Linked DNA regions of Ovis aries. The protein of the gene in region 2 interacts with the protein of the main gene of each other region in a pairwise test. Links are inferred from orthologs where the notes say so. Each region holds a gene or a part of one and is shown on either strand. Other genes may lie near its edges. The genes, in order: GPSM1 and CCDC158.

Evidence for each region.
Region 1: the proteins of CCDC158 (region 2) and GPSM1 interact in a two-hybrid assay, tested with the Homo sapiens proteins (2 studies listed by BioGRID and IntAct). The link is inferred for Ovis aries from reciprocal best matches to the Homo sapiens genes CCDC158 and GPSM1.

What each region holds. Positions count from the first base shown.
Region 1 is NC_056056.1:3,139,465-3,143,278, forward strand, and holds part of GPSM1 (G-protein-signaling modulator 1), read right to left. Parts: intron 2,975-3,814; coding exon 2,753-2,974; intron 2,068-2,752; coding exon 1,932-2,067; intron 1,260-1,931; coding exon 1,117-1,259; intron 901-1,116; coding exon 777-900; intron 589-776; coding exon 473-588; intron 1-472. UniProt on the Homo sapiens protein: Guanine nucleotide dissociation inhibitor (GDI) which functions as a receptor-independent activator of heterotrimeric G-protein signaling.
Region 2 is NC_056059.1:92,006,075-92,009,888, forward strand, and holds part of CCDC158 (coiled-coil domain-containing protein 158), read right to left. Parts: intron 3,490-3,814; coding exon 3,375-3,489; intron 1-3,374.

The DNA.
Region 1 (3,814 bases), on a different chromosome or scaffold from region 2:
TTGCGCTCCCCAAGCCCCCTTCCAAGGGGTAGACAGGGATGCGGGGGTCGTGGATCCAGCCCCAGGATCCCATGGGGGCCTCTCTGGGCTCTACCAGTTGCCCCTCTGGGGCAACACAGAGCACTGCCCCCCTCAACCCATGGCCCCAGGGAGGTCAGGCAGGCAGGCCTTGTGGCGGGGGCTGGGTGTGGGGGGGGGTGCCTCCCTGGCCTGGTGTCCAGGCGCCCTCGCCCACGCCCTCCTAGGGCCCACCGGCTGGGCAGGCAGGCCTTGACAGGGGCCAGGCGGGCAGGCCCTGGGAGAGGCCAGGCGGGTAGGCCCCGGGGGGGGCGCTGAGTGGGCAGGCCTTGGGAGGAACAGGTGGGCAGGCCTTGTGGTGGGGGGTGGGGAGTGGGACGCCTCCCTGGCCTGCTGTCCAGGCGCCCTTGCCCAGCCCACCCTCTCCCTGGCCGGGCAGTGGGGGGCTGCCTACTTGTAGTACTCGGCGGCCACGTCAAAGCGCCCCAGGAATATGTGGGCGTTGCCCAGGTTGCTGTAGGCTCTCCTCTCCGCTGCTTTGTCTCCAAATTCCTTAGCGATGGCCAGGCGCTGAGGACACAGACGCAAGGCCTGAGGTGGTCACGAGGCAACCCAGGACCTGCTACCGGTGGCAGGCGCTGCCCCCCTACCCAGCATAGCCAGCCCAACATCCGCGTGCCCAGGGTGCAACCCAGGAGCCCAGACACCCAGCCCAGACGAAGCAAGGGGGCTGGGGGCAGCCCCGCCGTTCCGCTCACCTCCTTGTGGAAGGTCGTGGCCTCCGTGAAGCTCCCCAGCAGGTAGTGGGTGTTGCCCAGGTTGCCGTAGGCCCTGCCCTGGGCCGCCCGGTCACCCAGCTCCTTCACCAGGGACAGGTTCCTCCTGGAGGCCAAGTGCGTGTGAGCCATATCCCCACCAGCAACGCCCTGCCGCCCGTCTAGGCCAGAGGATGCTGAGCCCGTGGCCCCCGGGGGTCATGCCCCCTAATGGGAGCGTCTCAGTGCTGAGCTCGAGGACTCTGGTTTTCGGGCGCCAAGGAGGCCAGGGGTGGGTGCTGTGGGGAGGGGAGCCACCCGGGGCCCCGCCCGTTCTGCTTACTCGTAGAACTCGGAAGCCCGGCGCAGTGTCTCGCGGACAGCAGGTGGCAGGTGCCCCGGGTCCTGCGCGGCGCTCCAGGACAGCTGCTTGCCCTTGGCGTGGTACACGTTGCCAATGTTGTACAGAGCCCTCGCCTCCCCGACCTGGGGGTGACACCGAGACCGGGGCTGCCTCCAAAGCCGCAGTCCCAAGGAGCCAGGCGCCCAGACCCTGCGCGCAGAGCTGGTATTCCCACGGCCTGGTTTGTGGTCCTCCCTGCCCCTGGGGCTACGAGCGCAAGGGCATCCCCTTGTCCAAACACTAAGGCAGGGGTCATAAGGAGGGCTCTGTCCCTCCCGGGTCACCCCTCTAACACCCCGGATAAGGACTCCAGCTCTGCCACCTCCAAGGGGGACCGGGCCAAGTCGGTGACCTCTCCGCAGTGGAGCCCTCCCGAGGCAGTGACGTCATCCGTACAGAGGCAGGGACACTGACCCCACAAGGTCACCGGGAGGACACTGAGCAGCCATCAGGGGCTCAGCAGAGCCTCTCTGCCCAGGCTTCCTCCCAGAGCCACCTCCACCCCCGCCGCCCCCTGGCCCAGGAGCGATGGGGACTATCGCTGGACTCAGCGGGGAGGTCGGTGAGAGGGGAGCAGACAGGGAAAACGGGGGCCCAGGACTCAGCCCCACGGCCTCCATGTGAGCCAGAAGCGCCCTTGTTTCTGAACAGGGACCATCCCCCGTCTTCCTCCCAGCCCGGGCGCCTGGGGCCCTGGGTGGTATCCTCTGGGGCCCAGTCCCAGCTGGGGCGCCCAGCCAATGCTGCCTGCCCACCTTGTCCCCCTGTTCCTGGGCGATGTCCAGGTGCCGCTGGCAGCAGACGACGGCCTCATCAAAGCGGCCCAGCACCTTAAGCGTGTTGCCCAGGTTCCCACTGGCCTTGGCCTCCCCCATGCGGTCACCGATGGTCCTGGAGGGCAGAAAGGAGTGAGGGGCCGAACTCAGGACTGAGCCCAGCATAGACCCAGGTGAGGGCCTCTGAGGACCAGGGGCGCCCATAGTCCCTGGGATGGTGCTGGGCAGGGGTCCCCAGGCGGGTGGGCCCAGCCCAGGATCGCCCGTCAGCCAGGTCAGGTCTCGGGGAGGCCCTGGTGAAGCCCAGTTTCAAGGCTGGGAACGCCAGGGAGCACAGCTCAGGGCTGGAGGGGGAGGCCTGTGGCCAAGGTGCTCAGAACGGAGAAGCCCGGCCCTGCCTGGGAGGTCTGGGGACTGGGGTTGGGAGTGGACAGCGAGGGGCAGCAGGCGGGGGGAAGCTCTGGAGACCAGAGGAGACTGGAGACCTTGGGAAAGGGGGGCTTGTGGGAGGGCGGGGGTGGGGCAAGGGACTGAATGGGCGGGGGTCCGCGGGGGCGCGGGGCGGGGGCGGGGCCTGAGTGGGCGGGGCAGGCCGCTCGGGGTGGGCAGGGGGCGGGGCGGGGGCTGAATGGGCGGGGTCCGCGGTGGAGCGGGCGGGGGCGGGGCCTGAGTGGGCGGGGCAGGCTGCTCGGCGCGGGCCGGGGGCGGGGCGGGGGCTGAATGGGCGGGGTCCGCGGTGGCGCGGGGCGGGCCCCGGGGCAGGCCGCTCGGCGCGGGGCGGGCGGGGTCGGGCCGCTCACCGGGCCAGCAGCAGATCGTGCTTGTGGTACTCCAGCGCCCGCGCGTACTCCTTCAGGTAGAAATAGGCGTTGCCCAGCTGGCTGTAGATGGCACTCAGCGTCTTCAGGTCCTCGGTGCCCACCTGCACGGCGGCCTCAAAGAAGGCCACGCCCGCCTTGAAGTCGCCCGCCTTGCACAGCCGCTCACCCTCCAGGGCCAGCTCTAGGCATGAGGCCTCCATCCTGGGCAGAGAGGACGGGTCAGGGGTCTCAGCGGCCCGGTAACACCATCAGGCCTGGGGCCCTGGCTCCTCCTCGCCACCGCGGGGCCCCCCCGGACGGCTGGGGCCCGGCTCCCTTTGGATGAACGAACAGAGGCAGCTCTGAGTTGGGCAGCGAGCCTACCCCCCCAGGCCGGCACGCTGTGTGGCTCACTGTGCCAGAGCCTCACTGTCTGTCCCCACCTGCCCCCGCCACCAAGCCCAGGACCCCAATTGCCGGGGGACCGCATGAGCACAGCTGCAGCCACCCCTGCAACTGGAGGACACAGCCTCCGGCCCGGCTCCTGGCTGCTGGGCAGAGGGGCTGCCCCTGGGCCAGGCGCCGCCCGCCACCCTCCAGAGGGGCCACAGCGGCCTGGGGCGGGCCCGATGCCCGCTGAGGACAGGAGGCTCATGGGGTCACGAGACAGTCGGGGCCACATTGGTGAAAGCCGATACCAGCCCCTTCCCTGTCCTGTGTCCTAGAGTGGTGGGGCCCAACCTCCAAGCTCTTGAACCTCCTAACCTCTGGGGGCAAGGCTGCATCTGAGCCGATGTCCTGCCCTGGAGCCAGAGGGGGACAGGAGGGTGGCAGGCACAGAAGGAGTCTTGGCGGGGGCCTAAAGAGAGGGCGGGGGCTCCTGCCACCCCACCCCACTGAGACAGCCTGCAAAAGTGCGCCCCGGAAAGGTGGGAGGCGGCTCAAGACCCCGTCCCCATCCCCTTACTCCCACTGCCTTCACGTGTCACCAGAGCTCGTGGAAGAGTAACTTAAAGTGTGCTCGCCAAACGGCCCGCTGCACCCCCGAACTCATTCCCACCT
Region 2 (3,814 bases):
TCCCTTTCACCATCTATGAATCTACTTTTTGTTTTGGATCACTGGACAAATAAGTACTGGGATCTCATTATAATCGTACAGTGATTTTAGATATCACCAATTGTGCCAAATTGTTATCTCGCTTTCTGTGCTCAAAAATACACAGTTCTGGGATAATAAGGAATGCTGCTGGTCAGCATGGAGGTGCATTGGCAGAACTATGCAGAGATTTGCATAGAATCTCCCTGCACAGGGTACAGCTCCAGCCAGTGCTACTACAACTTCACTTTTTGAGTAAGAAATTCAGCCCCAAATGCTTTCAAAGTATGAAAAGTAAACTTAGAATCAAGATTGTGAGATATTTTTGTTATCAAAAAGCGAAAGTTAAGAGTAAAGCCAAATCTACAGAGCCAATAGTGACAGCTTCTACTGGTCCAAATTCGTAAAGGGGAATTCTGGAGGTTCTCCTAAAATGGAAAGAGAAGAATAGAAAAAATATTACAGTAAAACACTTTTGTATGTCTGAAAGCTATGTCTACAGTCTTCTTTGAAACATCACTTTTCATCAGTATGAAAATACTTTTGCTTATCTGAAGGGACACTTGTCTGGCTAAACAAGTTTTCTCTATACTTATGCATTCTAGTTGGGAAAGTTTTGTTCAGCCCTGTCATGCAATCAATTTTTAAAAATAATAAATATTTTTTTCTGAAGGAATCTGACCCTCAGGAGAAAATACTAACACTGCCTGCCTCTCATAAAATATGTTGATGTATAATATCAACATACTCTTAAATAATAAGTCTCTCTTCCCACAAATCTCACTTTTAATCATAGCTGTATTTTTTCCTTGTTATTTGGACAGTATATATTGTATATATTAAACGTACAGCAGCAGTGGAAAAATAAAATTTTAAGATTTTATTTAATTTTAAGATTTTAAGGTTTTAATAGGCTTTAGCCTATTAAATGTCAAGGTAAATGAAAATAAAAGAAATTAAACAAAAGAATCTGTGTTTTTTTAAAATTCTACATTCAATTTATCACAATGAAAATATTTTATAATGATAGAATTTTTCATGAACACAAAATAAAATACTTTCGTTAATGTGTTTGATCTTCTTTGCTTAGTTACACTATGTATTTTTTTTTTACACCATGTATGTTTAATGCTTTTCAGGTCAGAGACATTAAAATCTGTATTTACATAGCAGGATAATCATCTCTCAGTGTTCCTTGACTAAAGCGAGTTACTATAGAGATTCTAGGTGCCAACTCGATTAGGCTTACTACGCTTTACCAAAAGTCTCAGTGATCTGGATTAAAATTAATTAAACTAATATGGCCTCCTTTTTTCCAATAATGTTGACTCTTTAAGACTGTAAAAATTGTTCATGATCAATTGTTTACATTAAAGCAAGGTAAGACAATGATTTTAGTACTGTGTTTGTATCTACATGACCTCAAAACCCTCATATAAAAGGTTTCAGTCATTTATCTGAGGCTAATGCTTCTACAATGCGAAAGAGATAGGTGTTTATAAAAACAAAAATGATTTTTGTACTGTTAAGATGTCAATATTTGTTAAAATTTCCTACCATGCCCAAATTTAGGTTGATCAGCATGGTGTTATACATCAGACGACATGCATATTAGCAAACAACTGGGTGACAGCTTATGAAGAGGCTGTTTCCAAGCAACATTACAAATGGAAAGCTATATTAATTTCAAATGATGTAAGATAGATAGGTGAGTCAAGTCTTAGTATTTAATATTTTGTGGCTTTTCAAAGGGTCTGTCAATAAACAATGAAAATTAAATCTTTTCAGAATGGGTTGCGTATGATGAATATCAGTCATTGTATAGACTTGATCTGCCCAGAATGGGGTGGATATTCCTGTTATCCATCTTCAGGGGAAAAGTCCATCCTGAACTAGAACACAAAAGGCAGGCCTCAGAGAAGCCGGAAAGAACAAATATTTCTGTCTGGGCTTTTGTTTCTTGGATTTAGCCTTTAAGAAGTCTAAGGCTCCTTAAGGCTACTTCTAGGTGGCAGTGGTTGAAATGACCCTGACACAAGAATCAAGGCCAAGAGCTAAGGAAGAGGTTTTCGAGAGCAGTGCTGTTCACACTGCAACCCACCAGGAAAAAGTGAAATCAATTTAGTGGGCGTCAAATCAGTATCTGAAGAGAAGAAAAAGAGCCAGTGTCATATTATTTTGTGAAACATACTTGGATTGTATCTGTGTATACTAGATCATATGGAAAACTACATTTCTTGATGTGGGTAGTGATCAAAAATGTTTGAAAGCCCCTGTAGAGGATCCAAATCTCAAAACTGAGATTATACAGTTTCACGTTACTCTTTATTGTTTAGACCTTATAGCAAGATCATGTCTAAATTTTCTATCCTTTTAGCTGTGCAACAACTAACTAAAGTTGAAGTCTTGAACTAGAGAATCAAGGAGAAAGAGCCCCCTCCTGTGACCAGCATAGGGGTGACAGCGATAATGAAAGGAGGGGTTGCCCAAAGGCAGGAAAATATCTGGAAGAATTAGTGCTGCAATTTTTCAACTGCCTCTTCCCATAAGGAGCTTTTTCCCTTGTACCATTACCCTGTAGAACTAGATTATGTTATAAAGAAAATCTGTCAGCTTTCTTATACTCTATTTTTTCCCAATTAACTAAGGAGTAAAAAAATTGGCTACAAGTGGTTAGACCTGCAGGTTCTCTTATAGGTAGGATGACTATCTAAAGGATTTATCATCCAAACTAGGGCATTTTGGAGGTGAAAGGTGGTATTCACAAAACAGGATACTATTCTGCGTCCTTGAAATCAACAAAAACCTAAGCTCCAAAAAATTGGTTGATAATGAAAATAGTTTCTTTTTAGCTATGGAAACTGAGAAAACAGAATACTGTAGTAAATAATAATGTCTAGTTTTAATAGGAACAGTGTGATAAGAGATGAAGATTTAGCTTGCTAATTTTTTCTTATTCAGACTAATCTTGAAGTGAATTCAGTTTGTAAGCCTCACAATGATTAATAAGGAGGAGTTGAAGTAAGAAATAGCCTAAAGTATTCAGTGGGAGGGGGAGAACAGCTGGTGCCAAGTACTTGCAAAAGCTAAACCTTGTAGCAGTAATTTAAATGATGTTATCCTTTAATTTTTTAGAAACTTGCTTGAAGAATGCAGGAAACTTTTCTAAGAATGAATTGATTTGAGCAAACACTGTGTATAATTAAACATGTAGATATTTAGCACCCATCTTATAAACTGCTTTTAATTTTAAATGATTGCTTTGATTCCTCATTTTCAAATAAACCATTAAAAACTATCTAACTGATTCTGTGTATAACAGTCTCTGGAAGCAGAACAGCAAAATTTAAACTCACCTTGTCTTCATACATCCTTTTGGCTTCCCTTAATTCAGAACGTAGTTGAGAAACAGTAGATTCCAGGTCACTCAGTTGGCGCATGTACATTGAATTTTGGTTTCTTGCTTGCTCTCTAAGAAGGGTTTAAAGAGGGAATAAGAGAAAATAAGATCTAAGGTAGAAGGAAAAGAGCATGACAGAGGATGAGATGGTTGGATGGTGTCACTGATTCAATGGACATGAACTTTACCCAACTCTGGCAGATGGTGGCCTGGTGTGCTACAGTCCACAGGGTCGCAAAGAATTGGACATGACTTGGCAACTGAACTCTTGCCTGGAGAATCCCATGGACGGAGGAGCCTGGTGGGCTGCTGTCCATGGGGTGGCTAAGGGTCGGACACGACTGAGCGACTTCACTTTCACTTTTCACTTTCATGCATTGGAGAAGGAAATGGCAA